Lepisosteus oculatus: one gene and its partner. The protein of the gene in region 1 interacts with the protein of each later gene in a pairwise test. Links are inferred from orthologs where the notes say so. Each region holds a gene or a part of one and is shown in the gene's direction. Other genes may lie near its edges.

What was found.
Region 2: the proteins of gopc (region 1) and myocd interact in binary tests that used the Homo sapiens proteins (3 or more experiments, as listed by UniProt). The two-hybrid records come from large-scale screens. The link is inferred for Lepisosteus oculatus from reciprocal best matches to the Homo sapiens genes GOPC and MYOCD.

What each region holds. Positions count from the first base shown.
Region 1 is NC_090697.1:32,949,489-32,957,972, reverse strand, and holds the start of gopc (Golgi-associated PDZ and coiled-coil motif-containing protein), read left to right. Parts: upstream 1-5,115; 5' UTR 5,116-5,359; coding exon 5,360-5,632; intron 5,633-8,484. Other genes in the region: nephrocan-like, read right to left, coding at 1-348, 2,120-2,314.
Region 2 is NC_090704.1:37,590,008-37,598,017, reverse strand, and holds the start of myocd (myocardin), read left to right. Parts: upstream 1-4,789; 5' UTR 4,790-4,896; intron 4,897-8,010. UniProt on the Homo sapiens protein: Smooth muscle cells (SM) and cardiac muscle cells-specific transcriptional factor which uses the canonical single or multiple CArG boxes DNA sequence. Acts as a cofactor of serum response factor (SRF) with the potential to modulate SRF-target genes.

The sequences.
Region 1 (8,484 bases):
TAAAGATTCAATTTGATTGCCATCTAGATAGAGACTTTCGAGTTTTAACAGAGAGGTAAATGTGTTCCCTCGAAGGCTGGATATCAGGTTGTTTTGAAGGTCAAGAACGCGCAGGTTTCTCAAACCATCAACAGCTGACTCCTGCAGGTGCTGTATCCTGTTATTTCCCAGTTTGAGGATTTCCAGGCTATGGGGGAGTCCACGAGGCATGTGCTTTAACTTGTTCTTCAGGAGCTCCAGTGTTTTTAGGTGGCTTTGAGACTTGAAAGTGTTCACTTCTATCGATTCTATTCCACAAGATGACAGAACAATTTCTTCAAGTTGTGTCAGTCCAGTAAAATCACATCTCTGAAAAAGTATATAAAAACATTGTATATCTCAGTGATTTCGGCTTAATACCTACATGAAGTCAGTTGCCTAAGACAAAAATTCAGAACAGCTCTATGAATAAATGAATATACTGACATAAAATATTGGATTTAAATCTTGATGAAGGCACACGTACCAAAGATACCAAACATCTGACATTTGATATGAATGGTCATGACTTGTGATAGACACATCTCCAAGCCTAGAAATGGCAGACTACTTAAGTTCAGGGCTTTATAATACAAAATGTCTCCTTTTAGGACACTTCAAAATGGTTTATTAAGAGTTTGTGGTGTGTATTTCAAACCACTGATCATGCTAGACAATTTTTTTTCTTGTTGATTGTTTTCAGTTGCAGGTGTGTCAGTGGAAAATATATCATTCATTACACACATACCTTAATTAACGGGGAATTTTAATTTACATTTCTTTACTGAGTGGTGGTGAATTGTAGTGCCATCATTCTAAAGTAGTAAGATCCTCACTCCTTGTATAGTTTTAGTATAGGACACTTAAGTTCATGAGCAATTAAAATTGATTTTGTGGTTTTATGGACAATTAGGGATTGGACTTTTATATTAATTTTCAGATCATTGAAACCACTGAATAATTGTCTTCAAAGTATCATTCTTTCATAAAACTTAATTGAGAAAAAAATTGATATTTTTATATTGCATTTTAAAAGATAAAAGAAAGAAAATGCCATTATTCTGATACAGTATGTAATAAATGATTCAAAGCATGCCTCATGACTTCCTATCTTTTTGGACATAATGATGAACTGCTACTGTGAGCTACATGCATGATTAATGGATATTAATTTAAGAAAATAACTAATTGAACATACAGCCTACAGAATAACTACAGGACATAAATTGATTTGAGTTTATTATTGTTCAGATGTCACAAACCTTTAATTTATCAGTTAATAGAAAGCCTTCACAAATATGTTTTAGATTGAAATTAATTATACAGATTCACATAAAATATAGAAATAATTTAAAATCTGGAGGATGATGATGGTTTAACGATAATTCATCAGGAATATGTGTTTTTCCTAAAATATCAATATCATAATTTAATATTCACAAATATGTAGATTATGTGTGTGAAAATAATCATACATATTTAATCTATAGCTGCTGTATATCCTAGTACCTTAATCACACACACAAACTTCTTTTTATGTGGTAGGTTGTATTTAAACTTTGATTTTAGAAACGTTTCTAAATCTACATAAATATCATGAAAATTTTACCATCCAAAGAGATTCTGTTTTCTCAAGGATACACAGACAAGAAAACAGACAGGAACAGAATATATTCAAGTAGGTAGCTGCGTCAGCATGCGTAGGCTGCAAAGGAACAGGTAACGAGTTTATATTTCTTTTCAGCATGGAATAAACTCGTTATCTGTTCCTTTGCAGGAACAGAATATGATTCACAGATATGTTTAACTTTTAAATGGACTCCATATTTAACTATTTATACATACATCCTTTATAACCCACTTTTGTACATAGAATATAAATGCTTATATAATCTACACAAAAGCAGCGAACAGTTCGAAATACTGTATTTGTTTAAATTCCAAGGCACAAACCACTTAAACCTTTTTCTCTGTTGCTAAGAGAAGTCTTAAGTCTTCTCAGAAACCTCCTATAAATACTGGTACAAGTGTAAACTCCCCATAGTGCAAATCTCTGAAGGAAGTTTATATCTCTGGTCGGCTTGTTTAGCTTTGCTCTTACCTTTAAATCCTTAATGTGGTTGTATCCTAGATTCAGTTTCCTTGTATCTTTTGCAGTCCCAGACGGTACAGCATGTACCCTGTAGCACTGTATCGACTTTTCGTTTTCACAAATGCAATTCTTTGGACATCCATTGTCATTTAGGCAGTAGCAGAGATGCAACAAGATGCAGATGGAAATTAAAATAAACTGCATGCTGAAAATACAACTAGGGAAGTCACTTTGGTCCAGAGACAGCACTCTCTGTAACCTTCGATCTCTTGTGTGACTTATATAGCAGGACATCCTAAAACCTAATGCTGGTAAGAGAGTGTTTTCTCAAGCCTATTTGGAACAATACTACAGATTTTTATCTTGGTTAAAAAACACCACTTGACACTAACAAGGAACTGACCTAAACAGTAATAGATTGGACCTCTGTTTGTAGACGTGAGAAACTTGCTGATAAACAATTTATTGCCCTTGCTGGTGAGTGCGTGCAATTTCCTTTGCTTTATCCAATTCCTTCCTGGGTGCTTTTTTCAATTTAAATAATAAAGCACTCCATTGAAAGTGTCAGTGGATTTTTCACTTTTAAAATTTTATAAGATCTGCTAAATCCTCCTTGGCTCCTTAAGGAAAAAAATGCCAGAGATTAATTAGCTGTCAGTCTTTTAATTGTGTCTGTGTTGTCATTTGATAACACTTGTTGCCACAGGTGTCCTTGGCTCCCAGTGTGCCTGTTACTCAGGCTTTATCACAAAGAGGGTCACCCAGAGGAAATACTTTTGAAAGAACAACCCATGTGAACTGAGGTTGCTGAATAGGGGTCACAGAACCCGGAGGATTGCTTCATTTGTGGAGCAATAACACCACAGAGATATGTGACCCTCCCAAATAATATGCGATCAAGCCAAGAGATTAAAAGATTCCATCCTTTAAAAGCAAGAGACACTAAAACACAGATCCTACTCTTAGCTTCTGTATCTGCAGGAGTGTGGGATATTTATAATTCATCTGAGAGGGTGTCCTGCTGTGTTGAGATATAAAACATTTTGCTCCCTGTGATAGCTTGGAGATAATGAATATAAAAATATCTTATGTGAGAACAAATAGTTCAATTGTTTTCGTGAGTGCTATAATGGTGAAGTTCAGTATGTTTTCTCATTTATAATGTTTAAGGTAAAAATATGCCTTTTTCACAAGAACAGAAACAGCTTGAACATTGTGCCTGGCAACTTTCAGCAATACTTAGAACAAAACGTTGTATTTGTATTTATTTTAGTCTCCATTGTAATAATCATTTCTACTTCTCTCTTGGCCTTGCAGTTCATCATATTAGTGTCCTTAAACTGGATCCTGTTCATTTTTTAAACTGTTAACAAAAGTATTTTTCCCCAAAAATATTTTTCTTAATTTGATTACTAACGCAATTTGGGGTGTAACTTTGATTCACTTACTTCTGGCATTAACCTGTTCAGTTTTTTTAGATGGATATTTTTTAATAGTTGTCATCCATTCTCCAATCTTTCATTATTTACCCTGTTGCACTCTGGATCTCTCAAATTCCCTTTCATTTCTTTAAAGTCAGTTTTCCTGAAAGTATATATATATTTAAAACTCTTTTGGACTGTACCTACTGTACACAGTTTTAAAAATGTGAATAGCACAACACGTTTTCTCCGTGAATCTGTACCCTATGTTTTATTTATTCTTTGTCAATGTTTTTTTGTCTTCTACTTTAAAATGTTTTTGTGTATGTGGAATATGTGAGTGCAATACAATTTAACCAGCATTTTTTTTACTCCTGGGGTGCTTTATAAATATTTTACGTGGCCAGAGGGTTAGATGCATGCAGTGGTTTTAAAATTTCACAAAATAACAAACCTATTCAGCACGACACCTTTTTTATGCTGAAGAAATACTTGGTAAACGATGTGAGGGGTGGGATTCGTATTTCAGGATCACTCGGTTTATAGGGTGACACTTTTATTTAAAACAATGGATTAATCTTTATCTTAGTGAGATTAGTTCTCATTATACATTACACATGGCACACGGCGTGGCGGTCAGGCTCACGACTTGCGTGTCCTGAGTTTGATTCCGGGCTGCGGTGCCTTTCTGTATGCCTCTTTCCAGGTGCTCCAGTTTCCTCACGCCTTCAGGAACAAGCTTACTAGGTCTCCTGGTGTCAGGAAATTGTCCCCGTGTGTGTGCTCTGACGGATGGACACTTCGTAGAGGATGTAGCGCTGCCATGCACTCTACGTCCGGGATAGTCTCCGGGTTGCCCTGATCTTTTTAAAGGATTTCTGTAAGCGGCTTTTTGATAATTTAGTATTGCACTGCATATTTTCCCGTCGGTATGCAGGTCTTAATGAGCTTGCTTGAGTTACCGGTTCTTCAAACAGCCAGCAGATGGCCATAAAATGTGCTTATAATTGCTTACCTACTAAAAGCTATTGAATAGTAGTCAGTTGATATAAAAAATAATCAAATTAATTCAATTAATAAAAAATAATAAATGAATCAAATATAAAAAATAAAAAATCACCGATATGTCAAGGCATTCTCGCATAACTTTTAATCACACTTTTGCAGATATACGTTTTGACCACTTCTGTAAGATCGGGAGTGAGATTATTTAATTAGTATCATTTTCTTTTTCGTTTTTAAGAAGAATATTAGCCATCGGAGAAATAATTATTTTATTGTGTAATGGTTTTGTTTATATGGCATGAAGTAAACATTTTGGGTATAATTCCATGATAAAACAGCTGATCACACGTGAAGAAATGAGTTTAGACAGATTCCCAAAACGTGATTTTCAGAATGCTTTTTTCAAACACAGCACAGCTCCAGGTAAAATTAAATGGAGGCAATATGTTTTGAGGCTGGGTAAATCACGGTTGTTAGATCTGTAAGTAGAACTCCCTCAGGTCTGCGTATCCTGTTTTGACGCTCTAAATCGATTATCTCTTTACTCTCTTGCTTTTTCTTGACGCAGGTCCAGCTGTGTGGCAGGCAATGATAGTCAATCACAGACTCGCAACCAATCCGCACTTCGGATTTCCTGGTCCGCAGAAGCCGGACGGTACGGTAGAAAACAGGGTTGGCTAAGACGACAGAGCGTGGTGTAGGATAGTAATATTTTATTTGTAATAAATAGATACAAAAATAAACTAGAAAAGTGATTAATTTATTATCGAAAAGGTGCTGCCTAGAATTGACAAGTAGTAATTCGTCGCTTGCAGTATCTGTGATGTCTGCGACGGCCGGCGGTGTCTCACCAGCCCCTCAGGGCTCGGCTCTCAGTGGTCCCGGTTCGGGAATGTCAATGTTCCGATGGTTGGAGGTCCTGGAGAAGGAATTTGACAAGGCTTTTGTGGATGTGGATCTGCTCCTCGGAGAGATCGACCCCGATCAGGCTGACATCACCTATGAGGGCCGTCAGAAAATGACCACTCTGAGTTCCTGCTTCGCTCAGCTGTGCCACAAGGCTCAGACCATCTTCCAGTTAAACCACAAACTGGAGGTAAGCACTCGGACACAGAGCATGTTAAAAGTGCCCGACGCCAGACGCCAGACGAGACCTGTACGGCGATTTATTGATTAGGGAACATGGCGTAGCTTTGCAAGTTAAGTCACATTCGCAGTGCCGTGAAACCCAAGAAGTATGCTTTATTTTAAAGTTCGTTTCTGTACTTGTATGTCAGTTGTGTTTGCCTAAAAACATTGCTCTGAAAACACAGTCAGAAGATAAGATAATTTAAACCATTAGCTAAAGATTTAGCACAAATTTGTCTTACTGAACATGGAATTTATACCTAGCTGTTCAGAGGAATTAACTTATGTTCATTGTGTGTTTTGGTATCTTTAGCGTTTCTTTGAGGTGTCACCAGAAGCTTTAGTTACTGATGTTAGAATTATGCAAGATGTATATCAGATATATTTTAACCTCAAATACTTTTATTTTAAACCAAACTAGTCTTTGCTTTCTCTTTATCTCAAGTACTTACTGTTGGCTAAGACAATAAGAATAGAGTTAATAACATTTTTACCTGGCGTTTGGCAAAACCTCATAACATTTTTTAGTATGTTTGTTTTTGTTTTCTGATTTGTATAACACATTGGCTTTTTACTTTATAAGGTCACGTGAAGGACCACATTTGAAATTGTGAAATAGACATACAATATCCACTTCCTTGATGTGTTTTGTTGGATTTTGATTTTAGGGGTTACCTCAGTCCTGTGGAGTAAAACTCAGTAAACATGAGTTGTAATTGTACTGTGCTGTACTTCAGTTATATGGTAAGGTTTACAGGCTGGTGGTTTCTGAGAAGAAATCATCCAGTTCTGCTAGTGTGCAACAGAAGGCACAAGACAACTCTTTTGTAGATGACAAAGAAGCTTTAGAGCAAACAAGTAGAAATCAATTTCTTTATAAATCTTATTTAAGGTATCATCATTGTAATTCTTAAAACTCACAAAATATTGAGTTAAAGATTTTAAATAATTTGTGCCCTATCAAGCATTTTCTTGTGTCTGGAAAAAAGTAACATTTATGTTAAATGTAAAATGCAGGATCTTCTTCACACTTGTTAATTCCCTTTTGTAGTGAGTGGCAATTCAATTTTCTGTCATGTAACACTTGTCTTTTAACTGTACTGTGTGCTGTGCTAGTGGTTTTCTAATCCATCACCAAATGGTCTTATAAAAGCAAGCTCTTCTACCATTGGTTTAACTGGTGTGTCTCATTTTATACTTAAAAGAATGGATAGTACCCAGGCTAGAATGTGAATGGTTTGTAAGGCCTGATCTTTGAGTAAACTGGCTACATTATATACATTACAGAAGTCAGTCAACGTTTTGTGGTGTGTACTGTATGAAGGAATATATATATGCACAGTTAGAATGAAACTAAAGTTCAAGAAGGTATAATTTGTAAGGTACATAATGTAAAAATGTTTTATTATTTGTGCCTTTAGAGATGCATAAATGTGATACTGAATTGTTTTGGGGGGTTTAATAAGCCATCAATAATATGCTGTAGTAGGAGAGGCAATAACTTCACTGTTGACAGTAAGGTTGTTTTGTACGGAAAAGTTAAAGAGAAGAAATAGTCAGTACCCATGTTTGGCATACTTCATCAACTGAATTTCCTAAAAATAAAACCTTAAAATGGAGTTATATGAAGTTACAATTTCAGTTGAGAATATATTTTAATGAACTGTAGAGCGACTGGGGATTTCACCTTCTTAAAAATCTTTTAAGTAGAAATAATGAAGATCATCACATACTGTACAGTGCCTTGCAAAGTGGTTCCTCCCTACTAAGAGATGGAAACAGTGCTAAGGGTGGTTCCACCAAATACGTCTACGCTAGGTTTTGATTCTTCTTTGCAGGTTTTCTGTCATTTAACATTTTGGACCGATAAAAGTATCTAGTTTAAGCACTCAAGTTTTGATTGAAAATACTCACTTTAAAAAATGTGTATGCATCATTTGTAATTCAACAAAATGAGACATAACTGTAAGGGAGAATATGCTTTTGCAGGGCACTTCGTCTTTATCAGAAGCAGTATTTTTTCATATCAGATTTTTCTGTAAATGACTGCCGCAGCCCAGGAAGAAAATAAGCTCTGGTTAAAGACATGTCACGCTACTGGGCAGTGTATAATAATAATAATAATAATAATAATAATAATAATAATAATAATGTTTCTTTATTAGCCCTGTACAATATATTGCATTAGGACTTAATCTTTTCGCATACCCCAGCTTTTCTCCATGAGACACAGGACACAGACAGGAAGAGAAGCTTGGGGTCAGAGCACAGAGTCTGCCATTGTACGGCGCCCCTGGAGCAGTTGGGGTTAAGGGCCTTGCTCAGGGGCCCAACAGAGTAGGATTCCTCTGCCGGCTGCGGGATTTGAACTGGCAACCTTCCAGTCACAAGCACAGATACTACTAAGCAAAACATTTTAGTTGATCCCTAGAGAAACAAAAAAAATTCACAAGCAGACAGAAATGCTTACTGCCACTTAGTATGTCCAGAGCCTTTCCAGGAGCACTGTTCCTCTGCATGATATTTTAGACACCTAGATATTGATAGCAGCACCTGGAGGTTATGGAGTTCAAAGCTACATTATACAGTCCCGGCATTCCTCAAACTCACTGAACATAGTAGTTTTCTGAAAGGTCAAAAATGAGGCCATCTATGCAGACAGATCAGTGAGGGTGCTAACTATTGGTTTCTAATAACAGCACCTTAGTCTCCAAAGACAGCCAGAATGTAAGCAGCTAAGTATACCGTGACCAAGAATAATTTGAAGTCAACCACATCTCTGAAACTGCATTATTTACCTGTTGATGGTGACTCAGTACA
Region 2 (8,010 bases), on another chromosome or scaffold:
TTTTTGACATCTTACTGGACTTTTAATAGGGGTTAAACCATCGACAGCACTTCAGTCATCATCTGAATCAACAACAAAGCCACCCAGCCCCTTGCAGCACGTTTATACAGTCACTAAAATATTAAATTACTGTCAGACAGTGCTATGGGGTAATATCCTGCAGACAAATTTAGTCTCTGGCTCAAAGCCATGCATTCCACAGTCTGTGTCAGAATCAAAAATAGGCACTTTAAAATAGTTTTAGCTGTTTGCTCACAAAAATGTAAGAGCATGAGCAGTGTTAGACTCATAGTGCTACAAGCCATCTTGTAACAACAATCGCATTAAGGCTTTCACTACCAAATGACCAAATGAGTGATTTCTTTCCTTTACAGTAGGTATTTCCAATACATTCCTTTTATATTTACATACTGTGTAAAACTCAAGTGCGCACAAACCACTCAAGTTAATGAACAAATTCCACATTTCAAAAACAGTGGCATGGATTTCATACTTCATACTTCACTTACATTTCCTGAGATATTGGCCTGGCCTGCTCTTTTATCTCAAGTATGTCAAGATCAATAGTATAATTGTGTAGTTCCATTTCTAACAACAGTTTTCAACTCCAGTGCTTCTTAAAATTTCAAGCAATTTTTTTACCATTGAATATCTTGAAATTAAACATTTTCATTGAAAACTGTAAATAATTGCTTCTGAATACTATTGTTTTCTACTAAAAGATAAACTAGTGAATTGACATACAATTAGCCATAACATCAATTAGCTTTAAAAAATTGTCTATTTGCTTGAATAAATCTTATTTTTACTTTAAAAAAAGTTTTCATGTAAAAAAGTCTGCTATAATTGAGTATTTAGAGGAAATCACAAGTTTAAAAGCAAAAGTTACAAAAATTGTGAACATCACCACAACTTCTTCTGTGCACTATAGTCCTTTATGTCATATGATGTTAAAATACATCAACATTTGTTTTGCATTATTTTTTAGAATAATATTACGTTGTAATTTTGGCCCATAACCTTTAATTCAAGTCTTCAAAGGGGATGTCGGTAAAAATTAGAATGGTTGCCACTCTCGAATTGATTTTGAGAAGTATGTTGCAGTACAATTGGCTATGCTTGTTAAAGTAATATTCTCTAGCAGCAAAACCAATATCTCACTGAGAAAACACATTTAAAGCCATGACATCTGCTGAATATATAGATCATGTAAAGTATAACATGACCTTGCCTACCTTACCATGAGATACTGTAGCAATCGGTTTGCTAACAAATTTCGGAATACTGTACAGCAGCACTAGTGTGATGGAATATACTGTATACTTGATGTAAGCAGATTAAACTTCATTGTTTTCCAAGGCCATGGCAGATTTGGGGTACTCTGGTCGCTCTTTGCATCTTTGATTTTCGCCTAACCAGGGGAAGTGTATTCTTTAATATAGCATTATGCTTGGTTTAGTACTGGCTTGAACAAGCAGACATCCCTCCTGGAGAATTTGGGTATAGTAACAGATGTTAAGGTTCTTTGCAGTGTTATACACACTGTTTGCCAGGAATGGAATGCCTTGCCACAGAACTGGTTTCCTGATTCCACCATACAAAGTCTAACCACATTTGTGTCTTGCTTAAGACAAAGAGCAGCCCCTCAAAGTTTTAAGCCTCCACATATGATTAAATGCAATGTATGATTCCAGAATGAAGAGTTGTTCTTTATATATGTGACTATTTATTTGCTTACTGTATGTCAAATGAGTATTTGCCATACATGTCCTGTTCCTCCAAACCAGGTTCATTCTCAGTGTTGAACTTTTTATTTTACTAACAAACTCTGTAGGATAGGTTTTAAAGATAAAAAGGTTTTATCTTTACCAGATTGCCAGGCATGGCCTCTTAAAATCTGAATATTTTCAGGCTGAAATCTGCAGTAATTTCACTTCATTTTGTTGGGGCCATTATTCCCATAATCAAGGCATTGTGTGCTGCACCTGTCTTTGAAAGAATATGGGTTTTCATTCATTGCTTTTTATGAAAATTAATGTAAATACAGCCAACAATTAAACACTTGCCTAGTTTTCTGTGCTATGTTAGTTTAATAAGCTCACTTTGACAACATAACTTTTTTTTGTTATTGCAAGGATAATATTCCTTCCAAGAATTTGAATATTTTCAATCAGGCTACCCAGATACTGTACTGCATGTTTTTGGAACAAAAAAATTGTATGTCTTTTTCAGGAGGGTAAAAGTCTCATTGTTTTACGTTTCTTAAACTTGTCAAGTGAACTGCACTCTTGCCAAGTCTATGAACTTCATCTTAAAGCAAGAAAGTTCATGTTTTAAGGTCATGTATTGAGAGAGAAGCTTTTACTTTTACTAATGCAAAGAAGAAATGACCCTGGCACATCATCCTAGATAGACAAAGGGTAAAGAAATGAATCAGAATCACTTTCACCTACTTAATTTCTTACAACCTTTATAAAAAACATGTGTTAGAATGTCAAAACCATTTGCTTATTCCTTTTCAGGTACCACTTGATCCAGTTTCATGTATTAGTATCATTAACACAAATATAATGACACTAATAATAATGATGAGCCAATTTCATATTTTAAAAATACATTACAAGCATAATCTTAGAGTGATACAGTGGTAAAAAAAAGAAAATTAATTGCATAAGGATGACATGGGAGTATTTGATAATACTGCAAACTATGTTCAGTCTGGATAAAGATTGATATCTGCTTTGGCTTTCATTGCCATAAAGGAAAGAATTCAATAACAAAATAAGCTCCTGGCTAGCATGTGCAAAATAGCAGAATAAAATGCATAATACTCTTCCAATAAAAACACAAATAAAATTTGAGGTGTTCTATTTTTGTCTACTGGTAATTTTATTTCTTCAGTGAAACCAACACAAACTTTGCTAGATTTAGACAATAAGACCATGTAAGCAAGGAATTTGTCTTAATATCTGTTAGAAAGTGATACTGCAAAGAACTGCAATATGCCATTAATTTATTTTCTTAACTAATTAAGTGTGTTGTATTTGTTTTACACACCTGTGGCAATAGACTATTCTGAAATTTGTTTACTTTGACAAAAGAAGACATATTCATAAATCGCTTACATCCTGGATAATAAAAAAGCATACTCTACAGAATGGGGCAAATGTAACAATTTTAATGGTATTATACTGTAATATGCATTTAGATATTATAGCAAGATGTTTGTTGTGTAGACTGTATGTAGACTGATTCAGATAATGCTGTACTTCTGTAACATATACTGTACTTAGCCAATTATATTAATGCATAAAGACAATGTAATTAGAACTGTAGGTATTGTAGGTATAAATATTACCCCAGGAACATATTCTGCTTTGATAACTGAATTTATTTATTAACTTAATTTCTTTTGGGGATGTATATCACTTTATATTAATTCTTCTACATGTTAAAATACCTGTTTCTATTACAAATGCATGTTTTAAATAGTGTATTACACTTCCCAGACCTTCTTTTCTGATTTTAATAGCTATTGTAAAAGGAGAGGGTAAGTAACAATGCAGTTAAATAGCAAACAGATGTCTTCAAACATTAAAAACGTAGAAAGTACATCTAATAAGAATTCCAGAGCTATGATGAAGTTAAGAAAACCAGCTTTAATGTGTTATTGAATCTAACTTTATTTTGCATCATTATTGCTTAATATCCTTTCAGACCCTGCTTTATCAGTCAAACTGCTCATTTGTTAGCAGCTCTTATAAAGTTATTTAATAATGCTTACATGGCATTTGAGTACTTTCATTATACCCACTTTGATACCTCTGATTAAACCAAATTCAGACACATACATTAACCTCTATAATCCTCATTTCGCCAGTGTATTAATCTGATGATGAGACCTCTGACAGACTACAGTTTCTGCGAGCAGGTGCACGCTTGTTTCTTGCCACCTGTGATACTGTAGTTTTGAATGACAGAATGAATTATGAAGGACCATGCTTCACCCCGCAACTATCTGCTATTGTCTTTACCAAATGCACAAGTAATGTCAGGAAGTCCTTCATTAAACTATTAATTTAAATTCAATACCCGTTTTCAGTAGGGCTTAGAGTGAAATGCATGTGTCTCGATTTCCGCAGCAAATTCCCTGGAAATTATAAAATGTAACATTGACACTACATCAAAATTAGATTTTTCTCTTTCCGGGGCATTAATTCAGCACAACTCTGTTATGAAATGTAATGTAATGGAAGATTTATGCAGAATAACTTTAAGAGCAAAACGTAAGTAGTCTAATGTAAAACATTATAGTAGCATGATGAAGTCTGATGAAGTGCATATGGTCTCTCATACCAGTAATCACTCTCATTTCATTCTTAAACTTTATCATATGGAGCTGTCTTGGAAATTAGCTCTGCCTTAAAAAAGCATTATACTGTAGATTTCCTAATACGGACACTATCGCCACTGAACTGAAGGGACATCAAAACATATCGGTAACTCATAGAGTTAGTGCATAGAAATAAGATTTGGACTTTGAAGAAATCTAGCTGACGCTATGTCAGAGATGTCATAAGGATTTCACTTCAAACAATATGTCAGACTGCGTAAATCTCGGTTTCAAATACTCCCACGGCATCCATGTAAACCTAGAAACAGTAGCATTGAATATTTCCCGAAGTCTGGCTGCTCCCGTGAATTGGATTCGGCTGTTTCCGTAAGCCGACAGCACAGGGCTCTTATAACTCGGCTCTTAAGGCACGGCAAGTTTACAGACTTGGAGAACCGTAATGAAGCAGTCTGTTAAATTCATAGGCTTCTTCGCTTCATCCCCAGCAGCTTCAGTACATTTCATCAGAGAGAAATAACACCCTGCGCCACAGCTACTTACAGGTATTTTATTACATTCTGTTCTTGGCTTCCAAAAACGCAACGTTAATTGAAGGAACTTGGCCAAAGGTTTATCGAAACAACGTACAATTCTAAGCTAATACTACCTGCTGTGCAGTGTATGCTAGCTCTCCACAAGAGGGGTCAATGCTCTTCATCTGTCTTCTAGTGTTTCTTTTCTGTTTTAATTAATCCAATTAAAAAACACTTCTTTAAAAACAACGTGGAAGTAATCAAAGCTTGCATGCACGAGTCGTTTCTCAAACAATTAGTATTAGGAGAAATGTGTTTGTGATTCAGCATGAATAGTTTTAATGTCTTTTTCCATCTACAGCATTTGCTAGTGATTTTTTAATCCTTAAAATAAAAGTGGGGACCCCAGCTTTACACTGCAATCTTTCATTTGTGTAATCATTTTATATAATTAGAATAATTTGTATTCTTATGTAGTTTTACAGTGGTCATAACAAGTATGGTAAAAATAGAATCCTATAAAGGATGATAGTAATTAAGCAAACTCAATACAATGTTTTAGATATAAAAAGAAGTTGACAAAACTAGTATAAGGTGAAACACTCCAGTCAATGGATTCTTCTGCTTTAAGTCAGTAATGATGGTATTTTATTTTTATATTTTTTAGTTTTTCTACATTAAAAGAAGCTTAAATTGGCTTGGAAGGACTGCAGTGAACAAGCCAAGTTGTACATGTTGTGATACTTTAACATTCAGGCCGTGCTGAAAGAAGTTATGACTTCTAGACTACAACAAGCTTGTACTATCAAAACCCATCTTTCAGAGCAGTTTGCTACACTGCATTGCAAAGTTTTCTCCACTTTTTCCTTCCCTAAACATAACTTGTGCAAAATTCCCAAAGTATTCTTAAGCAATATATATCATACTATTGTAAATACAAAACAATTAACAATAAACAATAGTTCTATACAAACATCTTGAATACTTACAAATTATGCAATATTATGGTTATCACAACCTTACACTGGTTAACAATAACAAATACAATATAACATTAATCACTGTGGTATACCATGATTCAGATGAATCATGTACTGTTTATAACAGGCACAATAGTGTGAAAATTACCATGGTATGTTTTTGCAAGGACCCTTGAATGTTTTAAAGTTAAGTTAGTTGACAAGATTAGTCAAGATTTAGAGGCTGTGCAAGGAAATGATACCATGATTGCTCAGGTCAAACATGACTTGGAAGAAGGATTTGAAAGAATCCTTAGCAAATGGAGTTTCTGTCCATCATTGCTCAGGAAACATAAAATAAAGGCAAGAGAAGCTAGCAAGGTTCTCCTTGTAATTCATCTAGACAACAGTGTTTTTACATTCCAATAATTCTGCTTTGCTGAATATTAAGCTGTTCTTAAAAGGCTATTTTTATGAACAAGGCAGTCAAATGTGTGTTAAGGAATGTGTTTTAACATAGAACAGTTATTTGCGTGTGTTGGGGGAGATTTTTTTGTCATTCATTATATTGAAATTAAACACCATGCATAAATGCAAACTGTATGGACAAACTTTCTTTTTGTTAAAAACAACTTAGTGTGGAAGGTTTGTTTTCCTTATATAAAAAATTCATTTTGAGAATCATCTGGAGTCTTCACATCTTTTCTACAAGCAAAATCAATTTTGAACTTATTAATTGAACAAAGTGGATGCAGTTATTGTAGTAAATAGATCAACACTGTGAAGTCGCCACAAGGAGCATTGAAATTTGTAGGAACTAACAAGTATGTTTTTATAGGAAGGTCCTCAGCTGATTTTAATTTAATTTCTCCTACCAATTTCCAGATCAATCTCCAAGATTTATAAGAAAACAGCTGTATTTCATGGTGTGACCAATCTCACTTTACAGATCTGCCCAAGCAGGAATGTACCTGCTCACAAAAGAGAATTCTGTGCCCACTGGCAATGCTTTTTTTTTTAAAGTCTAGCCTATGTGACTCAAGATGTCATTAATTTACTTGAATTACAGTATGTATTTGGATGATAACCTCCAATCCAAACAAAAAATACCTAAAAGAAATACAGACCTTTTTTGCTATGTGTTGTTGCAGGCCAAAGTAGTGGTTGTTTCTTCCTGGGTGTTTCCGTGGGTCTACACATTCTGCAATGTGCATGATGTATAAAAAAGTATTACAAATACCTATCCTTCTTATAATAGAGGGAGGTGTCTTTTGTGGCCTAGCAGGCTGCACTGAGGTGACCAACTTTTGAGAATTACCTACTGTATGACAGAGATGTTTTGGAGCATCCAATTAATATACAGTGACCTAATATATTTGAAACTGAATTTCAATATGGTGTGCTTTGTTTTTGCTTTGTTGTTTGCTTATTTCTGCTTTATTTTTGACCAAATTACATATTATATTTTGTAAAAACCTCTATTTGTGTGCAGAGTTTTAGCATATAAAACAGCCTTTTTCACTGATTTACTTTGTTTGTAAAGTGTCACAGCCACAAACTTTGGAATAATTATATCCACATTTCTATATCAATACCCATAATCATTATCTAAATACTGTAAGGTAGATCTGATTTAGTGATAATTATGGTTCGTGAAACCATTCCTACATATTTTGCATATTTAAGTAATTTAATCCACTAGATTCCCAAGATTTCTGCAGCCTGTAGTTACATAATTGAACCCTAATTTCAACTCATTTTAAATGTTCAGTTTTCAAGTTATTCCTTTAGCAGTTTTACAAATAGAGGTTAATGTAGGGTGACTAAACTGGGATGACTTTTGCTTATACTGGGGTGGCTTAAGCTCCCTCACACTTTTTGGAAGATCTGTCACTGGGTGACGGGTATTGAGGACTAGAATAGAATTGAGACGTACTATACTGGGATGTCTTGCTTTAATGAAGAAGTACAGTATTAAAAACCTTATAAGATCTATCAATGCTAACTGCTTGTAAAGAAACTATGTTCAATGGTGCAAGGTTTCCACACTTCATTGCATTAGTCTCTTACTTTTCACAATTTCTATTACACTCCCAGAAAAATAAATATACCTAGATCTCACTAATTCTAACCACTTTAAAGCAGAAGTAACAGTTCAGCTGACAATCTCATAGTTCACATTTTG